Anolis sagrei: one gene and its partner. The protein of the gene in region 2 interacts with the protein of the main gene of each other region in a biochemical or structural test. Links are inferred from orthologs where the notes say so. Each region holds a gene or a part of one and is shown on either strand. Other genes may lie near its edges.

The links. The genes of interacting proteins can lie anywhere in the genome.
Region 1: the proteins of RXFP3 (region 2) and RLN3 form a complex in vitro, tested with the Homo sapiens proteins (2 studies listed by BioGRID, with this or other methods). The link is inferred for Anolis sagrei from reciprocal best matches to the Homo sapiens genes RXFP3 and RLN3.

What each region holds. Positions count from the first base shown.
Region 1 is NC_090022.1:159,937,201-159,944,654, forward strand, and holds the start of RLN3 (relaxin-3), read right to left. Parts: upstream 3,017-7,454; 5' UTR 2,736-3,016; coding exon 2,576-2,735; intron 1-2,575. UniProt on the Homo sapiens protein: May play a role in neuropeptide signaling processes. Ligand for LGR7, RXFP3 and RXFP4.
Region 2 is NC_090022.1:280,433,649-280,441,134, forward strand, and holds the start of RXFP3 (relaxin-3 receptor 1), read right to left. Parts: upstream 3,002-7,486; 5' UTR 2,436-3,001; coding exon 1,083-2,435; 3' UTR 1-1,082. UniProt on the Homo sapiens protein: Receptor for RNL3/relaxin-3. Binding of the ligand inhibit cAMP accumulation.

The sequences.
Region 1 (7,454 bases), about 120 Mb from region 2:
ATTTGTAGTTCACCTACAATCACAGAGCATTCTGAACCCCACCAACGATAGAATTGGGCTAAAACTCCAACACAGAACAGCCATGTGGGCCACAGCAACACGTGGCAGGGGACAGCTAGTTCTATATAAAAACATGAACTGGAAGGAGGTAAAAGAAGTCCAATCCATTCTATAGGTCATACTGGGGGGAAAGAAATTAAAATACTTAGGGGTGTATATACCTAAAAATTTAAATAATATAATTCAGATAAATTATAACCAACTATGGAAGAAAACAAATCAACAATTGGAAAAAATGGAATTGGGATATAACAACAAGGGTGAAGGCATATAAAATGATGATGCTGTCCAAATTTTTGTACTTATTTCAATGCCTCCCATGTAGCATTCAACCTAAAATAATAAAGAAATAGGATAACTCAATTAAAACATGGGCAGAAGGTTCTAGTAAAACCAGAATTGCAAATTCAATATTTTTTTCTCCACAAGAAAATGGAGTCTAGGGAACACCTTACCTCCAGAATTACTATGAAGCCTGTTAACCGGCTAGATTACTAGAATTAGATATTGGAGAGCCCAAAAAATGGGTTAGGATAGAGAAATTAACAAATGGATGGGAATATGGATCTTGCATTATAGGGAAAATTGGGGGGGAATGACCTAAAAAACACAAAAGGAGGCCTTTTGTTATCAACAATGACCTGTTGAGGATAACAGCAGAACAAACTCCCACTAATAGACAAGCTCCCAATAGGCTCCATAGACAACAGAAAACCCCAGCCATATCGCAATATGCTAAAGAAACTGGAACATAATGAAATAACAAAGATTGAGGACTTACTGAAACCAGACGGAACTGTAAATTTAAAAAACAAAAACCCAAAATTTAAAAACCACAGAGCTTATTCACTGGGTAAGGTGAGCAGAAGTGCAGTGAAGTGTGAAAGTGATTCATCTAGTAGTACTATGTTTCCATTTGCTTATATCAGGGATTCTTAAACCTTTTCCACCTGCGAACCTTTTCCACCCAAGAAATTTTTATGTGATCCCAGGTATATCTATATAAACAAAAATGTAATGTTTGTTTGTGGGATTAACATAACTCAAAAGCCACTGGGCGAATTGACACCAAATTTGGACACAATACACCTATCAGGCCAATAAGTGATCATCGGTTGCAAAAACATTGAAAAACACAGCAGAAGAGACTTAAAAAGCCAAAAAACAAAAAAAAATACATTACGGGTTTTGTTGCCCATTGCACAACATGAAATTGTACAACATACAGTTGCAGTGTAGAGTTGTAACATGCAAATTGGTTTGGCAAGTGCCATGAGAAAGCACAGCATGCAGCATCACTGTATGCACAACTCTGCTTCCACCACTATCTATATAAATAAAGATGTAATGTTTGTTTGTGGGACTAACATAACTCAAAAACCACTGGGCAAATTGACACCAAATTTGGACACAATACACCTATCAGGCCAACGAGTGACCATCACTCATAAAAACACTGAAAAACACAGTAGAAGGGACTTAAAACAGCAAAAAAAAAACATTACAATGCATGCACAAAACCACATATATATATTATATACACACACAAGACACATACATAGACTGGGCCACAGCAACGCGTGGCAGGGAAACAGCTAGTTAGAATATATATCGACATCTTTCATTGCTGCCAGGTTCCCTATAGCCATTTTACACCTACCTCTTCGCTGCACCATCGCCGCTGGCTGCATTCAGAACTGTCCTCCATTGCGGCTTCCTCAACACCCGCCATCTTTGATGACAACTTAGGAAGACTGGTCTATGAACCTGGGCTACTTTGGGAGTGGGAGGGTGACTTCACTTTGCATTTTTTTTATATACTACCAATCTAATGAGCCCCCGGTGGCGCAGTGGGTTAAACCCCTGTGCCGGCAGAACTGAAGACTGACAGGTCGCAGGTTCGAATCCGGGGAGAGGTGGATGAACTCCCTCTATCAGCTTCAGCTCCTCATACGGGGACATGAGAGAAGCCTCCCACAAGGATGATAAAACATCAAAACATCCAGGCGTCCCCTGGGCAACGTCCTTGCAGACGGCCAATTCTCTCACACCACGAGTCACTTCTGACATGACAAAAAAAAACCCCAAAACAAACAAAAAACAAAACAAAAAACAATCTAATAACTTGTAAGCCAGTCTAATAATTTGTACAAATAACCTGTAAGCTGCTCTGAGTCCCCTTTGGGGTGAGAAGGGCAGCATAAATATGTTGTAAATAAATAAATAAAAAATAAATATATTGTTTGGTGGCCAATAATTCACAATTTATGCATGTTTAGGTCACCAACAGGATGCTGGCCAATAAGGATATGATCTTTAGGCTTCTGTCTTTTCTAATTTCTCAGCTAGAGAAGAAGTTGGAAAGGTTATATTTTTGAACGACAATTTCCAGAACCTCCTGACCAACATGACCACACTGTGTGGGAGATTCTGGGATTTGTACCCCAAACAGGAGATTCCCCAAGCTCTGATCTAGACCCAGTTCCCCAGCCGTCCCCTAGCAATTTCCACTCACCTGCCCGTCTCCAGCGAGATCCCCCGCAGGTGAAGATAACCGCTCGGATGAACTCTCTGCCGCACAATTTCACGCCGTAGGGAGGTGTCCTGGCCTCACTCCCCAGCCTCATCTCCAAGAGCAGCACCCCCAGGACCAAAGCAAAGAGAAACTTGTGCATGGTTGGGCACAGACAAGATTGGAAAGTAAAGGTCTGCAGGCACACAGCTCCCGATAGCCTGCTGCTTCTCTCCGTGAGTCTTCTTTATAGCAGTCAGATCTATGCGCAAGGTAGCCAAGGATGTCCATCCACGTTATCTACCCAATTATCAGCAGAGAACAGGTGAAGACCTTTCTTGGACACTGGCGGTGGGGGTGGTGGGCAGTGATTCTTGCGTCGACTGTGCCAACTAGTCAGAGATAACCTTTTGCTTGTTATCATCATAGCGAGTAAGGAATCATTACCTGGCCTTTCACAGAGTACACATTGAAAAGCCAGGTGCATCGAGACAGAGCCATGGAAAAGCAAATGCTGGGAATAGACAATGACGCAGAGCTTGGAAAAGTTCATTTTGTGGGCTACAACTCCCTAAATCTCTCAGACAACTCTTGAGAGCTCAAATCCTTAAAAAAGGAAACCTTCCCAATCACTGCTGCTGCTCCAAAAGGCTTCGTATTATGAGTCATAGTGGGAGCTGGGTTTTGTTTGTTCTCTCACTAACAGGTTTGACGTTCTGGAAGTTGTCACCTGAAAAAGTAACTTTTCTCATTCAGACATGACTATTGCCAGACTACTGGCACTTTCAAAGCTACCACATCCTTTTTTAACTTTAAACTATTACATTTGGCCCGGCCATAGGTTTTTAAATCCTTGTGTGTTATTATTTATATGTGATTTATATTAATTGTATTATTTTTGTTTATTGCTTTCTTGTTTTATTGATGTGTAGTTGGGCTTGGCCTCATGTAAGCTGCTCCGAGTCCCTTGGGGAGATTGTGGCGGGGTATAACTAAAGTATTATTATTATTATTATTATTATTATTATTATTATTCTCTATTCTTGTTCATTCGTTCAGTCGTCTCCGACTCTTCGTGACCTCATGGACCAGTCCACGCCAGAGCTCCCTGTCAGCCGTCACCACCCCCAGCTCCTTCAAGGTCAGTCCAGCCACTTCAAGGATGCCATCCATCCATCTTACCCTTGGTCGGCCCCTCTTCCTTTTGCCTTCCACTTTCCCCAGCATAATTGTCTTCTCTAGGCTTTGCTGTCTCCTCATGATGTGGCCAAAGTACTTCAACTTTGTCTCTAGTATCCTTCCCTCCAGTGAGCAGTCGGGCTTTATTTCCTGGAGGATGGACTGGTTGGATCTTCTCGCAGTCTAAGGCACTTTCAGAACTTTCCTCCAACACCACAGTTCAAAAGCATCGATCTTCCTTCGCTCAGCCTTCCTTAAGGTCCAGCTCTCACATCCGTAGGTTACTACAGGGAATACCATGGCTTTGACTAGGCGGATCTTTGTTGCCAGTCTGATGTCTCTACTCTTTACTATTTTATCGAGACTGGACATTGCTCTCCTCCCAAGAAGTAAGCGTCTTCTGATTTCCTGGCCACAGTCTGCATCTGCATTAATCTTTGCGCCTAGAAATACAAAGTCTGTCGCGGCCTCCACGTTTTCTCCCTCTATTTTCCAGTTGTCAATCATTCTTGTTGCCATAATCTTGGTTTTTTTATGTTTAGCTGCAACCCAGCTTTTGCGCTTTCTTCTTTCACCTTGATTAGAAGGCTCCTCAGCTCCTCCTCGCTTTCGGCCATCAGAGTGGTGTCATCTGCATATCTGAGGTTGTTAATGTTTCTTCCAGCAATTTTCACCCCAGCTTTGCATTCATCAAGCCCCGCACATCGCATGATGTGTTCTGCATACAAGTTGAATATGTTGGGTGAGAGTATGCAGCCTTGCCGTACGCCTTTCCCAATCTTGAACCAGTCTGTTGTTCCGTGGTCAGTTCTGACTGTTGCTACTTGGTCCTTGTACAGATTCCTCAGGAGAGAGACAAGGTGGCTTGGGATGCCCATCCCACCAAGAACTTGCCACAATTTATTATGATCCACACAGTCAAAGGCTTTAGAATAGTCAATGAAGCAAAAATAGATGTTTTTCTGAAACTCCCTGCCTTTCTCCATTATCCAGCGGATATTGGCAACCTGGTCTCTCTATTCTTATAGCCACATTATGTTACACCAAGCCAATACAAGAAGGTGAACTGCCTTCTTTCTATTTGTGCTTTTTTATACTAGGATACTATCTGCCCTTGTTTTAATCAAGGTTGGAGAGCTATTGTAATAGTCCTTCAGATGGCAAACTTCCTATCAAGGCCCTTCCACACAGCCATATAACCCACCCAGAATACCAAGGCAGAAAAACTCACAATATCTGTATGGTTATCTGAGTCCATACTGCCATATATTCCAGTTCAAAGCAGAAAATGTGGGATTTTATTCAGCTGTGTGGAAGGGGCCTCAGTCTTAACCAACTGAGTAAGTGGTGAAATATAATGGTAATATCAGGGCACCACATCAATATTCATATTCCTGCCTTGTTGATACATTTACATATTTATAGGTATAGTTCACCTTTATGACACTAAATAATAAGCTAAATATGACAAGACAGGAACACATATATCAGCATTGTTGTTGTTTTTTATTCGTTCAATTGCTTCTGACTCTTTGTGACCTCATGGACCAGACCACGCTAGAGCTCCCTGTCGGCCGTGGCCACCCCCAGCTCCTTCAAAGTCAAGCCAGCCACTTCAAGAATACCATCCATCCATCTTGCCCTTGGTCAGCCCCTCTTCCTTTTTCCTTCCATTTTCCCAAGCATCGTTGCCTTCTCTAAGCTTTCCTGTCTTCTCATAATGTGGCCAAAGTACCGTATATTCTGGCATATAAGATTACTTTTTAACCCAAGAAAATATTCTCAAAAGTCAGGGGTCATCTTATACACAGGAGTCGTCTTATACGTAGGAGTCATCTTATATGCTGGAGTAGCCTTATGCATGAGAGTCATCTTATATGCGGGAGAAGCCTTATACACTGGAAGTAGTCTTATAGAGCGGGTGCTGAAACTTCCAATCCAGATTGGAGAATCTGTGGTTGCTGCATATGGTGAGGGGAGCTCAAAAATGGCAACGGCCACGTCCCTGCCTTATGCAGCAACTGTAAGAAATCATTAAGGGCGACGTCGTACAAGTATGGTAGAAGAAAATCCATTCATCAGGATTCGTGGACTTAATGCAGTCCCGATGTTGAGGTGAAGGGGCACCTCACCTGGAAGGTGTAAGTGAAGGGTGGAGCAAGCTTCAGGCGTCTGGGTTGCCCAGGGTATGGAAAAAAGAGATCGACAGGCTCTGGGCCCAGAAAAACACAACTCTTTTACCTGTCTGGCCCACCCTTGCATCCTATTACCGTACCTCCTCCTCTGCCTCTCTGATCTCGCTCCTGAAGACTGCAGTGAAGTGGTGCAGGTGCGCAGATGTGAGATCTGAGAGGCAGAGAAGGAGGTACAGTAATAAGAAAATTACCATATTGAAATAAAATCTGATGCTTTTAAAATTTTTATTTGGTGTGTGTTGGAAGAGGGGTAGTCTTATACGGCGAGTATGTCCCAAACTCTATATTTTAATTGGAAAAGCTGGGGGTCATTTTATACTACGGGGAATACCATTGCTTTGACCATGTGGATATATATCAGCATGGGGCCCTATTATTTGCAATATATCTTATCAAATGCCCACTTTGAGAGCCATCATGATATAGTGGTTTGAGTGCTGAAGTACTGGGTCCAATCTATATAAATAAAAATGTAATGTTCATTTGTGGGATTAACAGATTTCAAAAACCAGTGGACGAATTGACACCAAATTTGGACACAAGTCTCCTAACAACCCAATGTATGTCCTTCACTCAAAAAAATTGATTTTGTCATTTGGGAGTTGGAGTTGCTGGGATTTATAGTTCAGCTACAATCAAAGAGCATTCTGAACCCCACCAACGATGGAATTGAACCAAACTTGGCACACAGTTCTCCCATGACCAACAGAAAATACTGGAAGGGTTTGGTGGGCAGTGTCCTTTGGTTTTGGAGTTGTAGTTCACCTACATCCAGAGATCACTATGCACTCAAACAATGGTGGATCTGGACCAAACTCTACACGAATACTCAATATGCCCAGATGTGAACACTGGTGGAGTTTGGAGAAAATAGAATCTTGACATTTGGGAGTTGTAGTTGCTGGGATTTATAGTTCACTTACAAATCACAGAGCATTCTGAACCCCACCAACGATAGAATTGGGCAAGCCTCCCACACAGAACCCCATGTGGGCCACAGCAACGTGTGGGAGGGGACGGCTAGTTTAACTATAAAAACCCACTGGGTGACTTTGGGCAAGTCATATTCTCGGCCCCAACTTTATCCTCGAAAAGAGCCTCATGGGGCTGTTCAAGGTTCACAGTCAGAGAGACTGTGCGAGGGTCCCAAATATTCATAGGAACAATGGGGACTAGGACCTGGATCTCCCAAGCATTCGTCTGAAGCTTCTTTCAACTACACACCTATAGTGCTATGATTCTCCTTTAACTGCAATGGGGTTTGTTCTTTGGCTGCATCAGTTTGAAGCTAGCGTCTAATATCATTAAATGGTCAGTGTTGATGAGGCTGGAGGAACTCTTTTTTTTTTACCCACATTTGGGACACTCACATTGACACTGAACATGTAGAATCTGGAAAGTTTTGCAGTATTTCTCACTTCAGCCACTGGAGTATGTCTGCTTTCTTCTCTATATGTGCTCTTCCACAGGCTTAGTTTGGCTGTATTTTGTTAGACAAGGTTGTCAGT
Region 2 (7,486 bases):
TGCACTAGACCCTCCACATTCACTGGAGTTAAGGACACAGGTAAAAGAAGATAAACTCAAGAAACCCACTCCTCACTTTTTCTTGTTACCAGAGAGATCACCTATTTTGGAATCTCTAAGTCCTTTAGTGTAATCTATTTTCACCGGAAGTTAATCTCACAGTTGTGCTGAAGAACCTAGACATTTCTAGAGAGGTTCTCAGTGGAAATCTTTAAGCGTTCCAGCAAAACCCTGTGGTCACCTTTCAGCAGACATTGAACATAGAGTCACAATGGAGGACCTAGAGAGACCATATTAATCAAATCTGCAGATAATCAAATATGCAAATGTTAAACCTGCAAATGTGGATGATCAACAGAATTGGCAATTTTGGTGTGTCAACAAAACTACCAGGCATATACCCTGTACGGATGAATAATTATTTTGACTGATTCCTATTAGTAGTCTTAACTATTGTATGCCCATTTAATGATTTGTTAAATAGTGAGTCAAGATTTAGAGAAATTCCACTGATTCAACAAATCTACTTTAGTTGGAGTTACCAATAGGATTCAAAGACTTTTTTTTCTTCTGGAGTAGAGCAAAAACCCACTTTCTTAAGATAGCCAAATCACCATATTCTTCAATAATAGTAACCCCCTCATAAAAACATAAATAGTGCTCTGCTTAAAAAATCCCCAAACCTTTCTTCTTAGAAGACACCCGGCACCCCTTTGACCATTTTGGCTTCCTTTTCTTGCATCTTCTTTCCAACTCTATTATATCCTTTTGGAGGAGCGGTGACTACAACTGTACACAGTATTACAAGTGTGGTCATACTAGAGACTCATCAGTGCCATAGGTCCCCACTTTTCTTAGTGCCATACATAAATGCTATGGGTTGTTTCCATCCTGGTTAGTGGGAAAGTCTTAAACAAATTGTTCCCTTCCTGTTTTCCTTCTGATGGATGGAACGTTCCCATAGCCATTTTATTACTTCCACATCTCCAAGATAGGGGAAGCTTGGTTCCAGCACAATTACTTGCCAGTTACTTTAGACCCTGGGGCCAGGAACCAGTTGTAGCCTTCCTACATGGTGAAGCTTAACAGTGGTGCTCAGCAGAGGTGCTGGTAGGCAAGGCATCAGAGCGGCTACTGTACACAACCACCCCAGGGGGATATGAGACAATATCCGGTAGAGTTACTGCTACACCTGGTGGAGGGTGAGGGGAAGGAGTAGAAGTATTTGCTGGATTAGCAGGCATCAAGCTATGCAGTACTTGTTCCTCGTGCTCGGGCTTAGTGGTGGCTGTGAAAGGGCGCATAGTAGTGATGGAGGGTGAGGTGATCCTCCAGAGCAGCTTCTTGAGGGCTTTGCGAAACTCCCTGCGCATCAGGCAGTAGAAGATGGGGTTGAGGCAGCTGTTGGAGTGTGCCAGACACACCGTGATAGGGAAGAAGTATGCCTGAGACAGGAAGTAAGCATGGCTGAAGTGCAGGATGTTGAGCTTGATGAAGATGCCCCAAGTGGTGAGCGCTTGGTTGGGCAGCCAGCAGAGGAAGAAAGACAGCACTACGATAGTCACCGATTTGGTCACTTTGGTCCTGCGTTTAGTGCTCGGGCCACAAGAACTAGCACCCACATGCCTGTCACTGATGAAGCGCACCAACAAGAGATAACAGAGAGTGATGATGCCCAATGGCAACAGAAAACCCAGCAACACCTTCTGGGTTTGGTAGATCCCCAACCAGGTATTGTTGCCTTCACTATCAGGAATGCGGATGAGGCAGAATTCCTCACCAAAGATTGTAGTAGTGGTGGAGAAGATACCAGTGGGCAAGGAAGCTAGAATGGCCAAGATCCATATGAGAACACATAGCCATTTGGCTGGAGAGCAGGCACCCGAGAGCCCATTTTGTCTTCTGGTTTTCAAGGCAGAGGCCACAGCATGGTAGCGGGCGATGCTCATGGCAGTGAGGAAGAAGACACTGGCATACATGTTCATGGCTGTCACATAGGAAAGGATCTTGCACATGGCATTGCCAAAGAGCCAGGTGTAATCCAGAGCATTCTCCACAGCCCAGAAAGGGAGCGTCAGCACAAACTGGAAATCAGTCAGGGCCAGGCAGGTCACAAAGAGGTTGATGGAGGACTTTTTCCATTTGCTCTTCATCAAGTAGAGCACCAAGATGTTGCCCACCAGACCCAGGGCACACACCACGGAGTAGACGATGGAGATGAAGATCCGCAGGACCACAGAGGCGCTCCCTTGCACACCTTCGCTCTTCTCCAAGTTGACCAGGTTCCTCCAGAGCTCTTGCAAGGACTCGTTGGTCCCATTGGCCAGCAGCCTTTCCTCCACAAGGCTGGGAAGGGAATCCAAGAGTTCTCCCATCCTTGTTTCCTTTATGCTGGCTGCCAGGGAGCAGTAGCTGTATTCACAGAGGGCATCCATCCCAGGCAGGGAAGAGAGTACTGTTCCAACAACCCTTTTTATAAAGCACTAACAACCGGGAGACCAAAAAGGGAGGGGCCTCCTTCAGGTGTCTCCCCCAGATTTCCCTGGAGCCAAAAAGAAGCACTTCCAAAAGCGAAGAGACCTTGACTGGGGTTAAGGCTGGAGATCCAAGGTATACTTCAAACGTCCATCACCATGAAGCCTTCAAGTTCAAGAAAAGCAGAGAGGTTCATTTTCATAGTTGTTTCTATGTCGGATGCATAAGAGTGAAGGGAGAGGAATCAATGCTGACTGGGAAAAAAAGTATCCGATCAGTTCCCAAGGAAAATGACGGAGAATCTGATAGCAAGCAAGTGTTTTCCGAGGTGGCTGCAGAAGCTGGTGCAGAAAGCAGGTCGGAAATGGAAGGTGTAGCTCCGCCAAAGTCTGGGAATGTCTCTCTGGAGAGAGACTGCTGAGCAGCCTGTAGCTAGCTACAACTCCTCTCTGCCTTTCCCTCCGGCGGAGAATGACTCCTGCCTCTGTCTCGCTTTCTCTCTCCAGCGGCTGCCTGGAAGGTGCGTGCGCAGCGACGCCCCCGGGAGCTCTCCCTGGTGCTGAAATCCAGCCACCTGGAAAGCGGAGGCTTCGCCCGCCCCTCTCGCCCTCCTTCACGTCCAGATCAGCGCCCACATCTCTGGGGGGACTCGCCCACCCCACCCTCCTTCCTTCATTTTGCCATTAGATTAGTTTAAATGTCTTCCTCTCCTTCCCAAATTCACTCTATCCAGGTATGTCTGACAAGTCTATAGTGATTTTACACAAGGCATGGGTCAACTTGGGACCTCTAGGTGTTTTGGACTTCAACTCCCCCCTTTCCTAACAGCCTCAGGCCCCTTCCTTTCCCCCCTCAGCCAATGATGTTTTGGACTCCCACCATTCCCAACAGCCTCAGGCCCCTTCCTTTCTCCCCTCAGCCGCTAGTATTTTGGACTTCAACTCCCACCATTCCAAACAGCCTCAGTCTCCCTCCTTCCTCCCCCCCCCCCCAGCCACTGATGTTTTGGACTTTAACTCCCACCATTCCTAACAGTCTCGGGCCCTTTCCTTTTCCCTCTCAACCACTGGTGTTTTGGACTTCAACTCCCATCATTCCCAACAGCCTCAGGCCCCTTCCTTTCCCCCTTCCGCCACTGGTGTTTTGGACTTCAACTCCCACCATTCCTAACAGCCTCAGGCCCCTTCCTTTCCCCCCTCAGCCGCTAGTGTTTTGGAATTCAACTCCCATCATTCTCAACAGCCTCAGGCCCCTTTCTTTCCTCCCTCAGCCGCTGATGTTTTTGACTTCAACTCCCATTATTCCTAACAGCTTCAGGCCCCTTCCTTTTCCCCCTCAGCCACTTAAGCAGCTGAGGGGGGAAAGGAAAGGGCCTGAGGCTGTTGGGGATGGTGGGAGTCGAAGTCCAAAACACTTATAGGGCACAAGTTTGCCCATGTCTGCTTAAGAGTGACAGTGGTTGGCAGACCCGCAAACCAAAGAGGGGGACCAAGAGTACTCAACTTTTAACCTTCACATTGCTATAATTGGTTTTTCTCCATATCAGCTATTGAAAACAAAAAAGATTCCATGAAGCAGCAGTGAAGCCACACAAAATGGTGCCATGGGGAAGGAAAAGTAGGTATTTTGGGAAGCTTCAGCAAATGTATTTGGCCTCAAGATCAAAGTTTTCCTACCTGTGTTATAAAGAATCTTCCTCCTTAACTTTTCAGTTTCATCTCTTGAATCGGGTCCCATTTTGTGTGTTCTGCCATTTAGGCCAGTGGAGGCTGGCAGTTCTGAACATTATGTCTGAAATAGGTTTAGTTCCTTAGATAGCTCTCTTAAAATTGGGGCTAAAATCTGGAGTGGATTGACCACCCTACTGATGTTAGATACTTCAGCCACCCTAGATTGGTTCATATTGAAACCAAGAATTTCATCATAATGGCTGCAAAGCTAAGGAGAAAGATTACAGCAAAAGTCCAAAGCTGCAGCTCACTAACTGCCTTCAGAGAAGCACTTATTCTGGCTGGTTTTGTGGTCTGGCCACCTTCATTACTTCACTGAGTAGATTCTGGTAGACAACTATGCTAAAATGTTGTTTTAAAAGTTTATATTGTATTCTGTCGGTTGTCTACACTTTTTATTTGTTCTATTTGAGTTTTTGGGAAAGTGAGCTATATTTTAATTGAATATGTTTCAAATTCTTCAAAACATTTGAAGAATTTTAAAAAATCAACATGGCATGAAAATATTTGAAAAGCTAGTTGCAATTATTAAAGTATATTATTTAACAGGATTTTTATTTTGAAGTGAAAGTAAATAAAATGCAGGGGTCATGTGAAGTTTTTAAAAATCTAAAAGAATGTAGCAGGAATAGGATTATGGCACATCTTTGAATAATCATACAATCCTGTAGTTGATCTATCTACCGCATTGAGTCGCCTGTCAAGGGCTGAAAAATGCAGTATAGAAATAAAGCAAATAAATAAATAAATAAATATCTGTAAATCCTCAACCTGGGGTTCACAACCAGACACTGTGAAGACATCTGCCCTTGTGCTTTGCTACTCAGCTGCTGAGTACGCATGCCCAGTGGGGAGCACATCTCACCATGTTAAAACAGTAGATGTGTCTCTTAATGAGACATACCGCATTATCACAGGATTTCTATGCCCCACACCACTGGAGCAATTATATTGTTTAGCCAGTATTGCACCACTTGATATCCACTGGGAAGTAGCAGCCAATAATGAAAGGGCCAAGACTGTGACATCTCCAGCCCATTCTCTGTTTGGATATCAGTCAGTACGCCAATACCTTAAATCAAGAAATTGTTTTCTAAGATCTACAGAGAAACTCACAGGAACATCCAAAAGTCCAAAAGTGGCAGGCTAAAACCCGAAACCTCAATCCGTGACTGATGCAAGACTCCTTCCTGGGCACACAGAAGACTGGGTGACTTGGAAGGTGCTGAACAGACTGCACTCTGGCACCATGAGATGCAGACCCAGCCTTAAGAAATCAGACTACAAAGTGGAGTCCACAACCTGCGAGTGTGGAGAAGAGCAAACTGCAGACCACCCATTACAATGCAGCCTGAGCCCTGCCACATGCATAATGGAAGACCTTCTTACAGCAACACCAGAGGCATTCCAAGTGCCAACTACTGGTCAAAGGACATTTAGTATAATGCCAAGTTTTAAAACTTAGTGTGTTTTTTAAATACATTAGAACTGTACCCTCAGTTTGGTTCCGACACGATAAATAAAAAGTTGCTCTATGCTATGGGAAGGAATGTTTCTAATTGTTTTTTTTTTGACTTTAGGTGTAAAGCCTTCTTTACGTCTAAATCCAAACCCTTACAAATGCAAATGTTGTCACATTATGGGCACAATACTTATCTGGAAATACACCTACTTATCTGGAAATAAATGCAATTGCAGTCATTGAGTAGGCAACATGTGTAGGATTGTAATTCAAGGCTGCAATACTATACTCATGTACCTGTGAGTAAGCATCATTCAACTAAGTGGAACTTGCTTTCATGTGATTCTTGAGAACTTCCTAATGGTGAGAGCTGTTCAGCAGTGGAACTCTCTGCCGCTGAGTGTGGTGGAGGCCCCTTCCTTGGAGGCTTTTAAACAGAGGCTGGATGGCCATCTATTGGGGGTGCATTTAATACGATTTTCCTACTTCTTGGCAGGGGGTTGGACTGGATGGCCCACGAGGTCTCTTCCAATTCTATGATTCTATGTTTCTATGAATGTAACAGGAGTAGGATTATGGCACATGTTTGATGAATCATAAAATCCTGTGGACTGCTTGTACTTGCTCTATGATATGGGAAGGAATGTTTCTCATTGTTTCTTTTGACTTTAGGCTTAAAGCCTTCTTTAGGTATAAATTCAAACCCTTAGAAATGCAAATGTTGCCAATATTATGGGCACAATACTACACCTACTTGTCTGGAAATAAGTGCCACTACCTTCATTGGACTTACTTTCATTCATTGTTCTTAACTCCTACCTTCAAGGGTGGCTGAAGTATCTGACATCAATGGGGTAATCTATCCACTCCAGATTTTATTCCAAGAGCTAGCTAAGGTACTGAAACTACTTCAGACACAATGTTCAGAACCTTTGACAATTCCTTCCAAGTTGGGGTTAAAACCAACAATGGATTACCTAATCCCCTAATATCAGAAACACCAGCATCCATTGACCGGAATGGCAGAATACACAAAATAAGACCTGATTCAATGGATGAAATTGAAAAGTTAGGGAGAAAGATTATTTAAAACATTGGTAGGAAAACTTTGATCTTGAGGCCAATTACAGCCGGTGAAGCTTCCCAAAATGCCCATACTTCCTTAACCCATGGCACCATTTTGCATGGTCTCACTGGTTCTTTATGGGTTCTCTCCTATTTTCAATGTCTGAAATGCTGAAAGGTTTAATCATAGCAATATGAAACTTAAAGTTAAAAGCTGGGTCCTTTTGGTCTCCTTCTTTGATTTGCAGGTCTGTGAACCCCTGGAATGTCACTCTTAAGGCAGACTCTGAAAGTAATTTTCCCATCCTTAATCTGCCGGACAACAGTCAGACTTTCAGTGGATGAAGCAGTAACAATTATTTCCTGGTCCAAAAACCATAACATCACCACTATGTTGAATATCTCACAAGAGATATGGTTCTGCATTATATTCTCCATTTGGGCTCAAGCTTCTCAAGTCTCCAATAAACCAAATAGACAACTTGTTTTCCTTATTGTCCCAGGATGCTGTGGCAAAGACCTCCAGGGGACAGTGGCTGCCAGCAGGCCTTGCTGATTTTCTGGGAGATGTAGCAGGCCAAGACCTCCTCTAGGCTTCGCCACCAGAGAGGCTCCTTCCTTCCTTCCCAGTCCTTAATCTAAGATAGTCATATTTTAACAGTTAAAAGCAGGTTGTACTACCTATGGCTCTCCAGAGGACTTGTACTTCAACTCCCAGCATTCTTGTCCATTGCACAAGATTGCTAGGCTTATG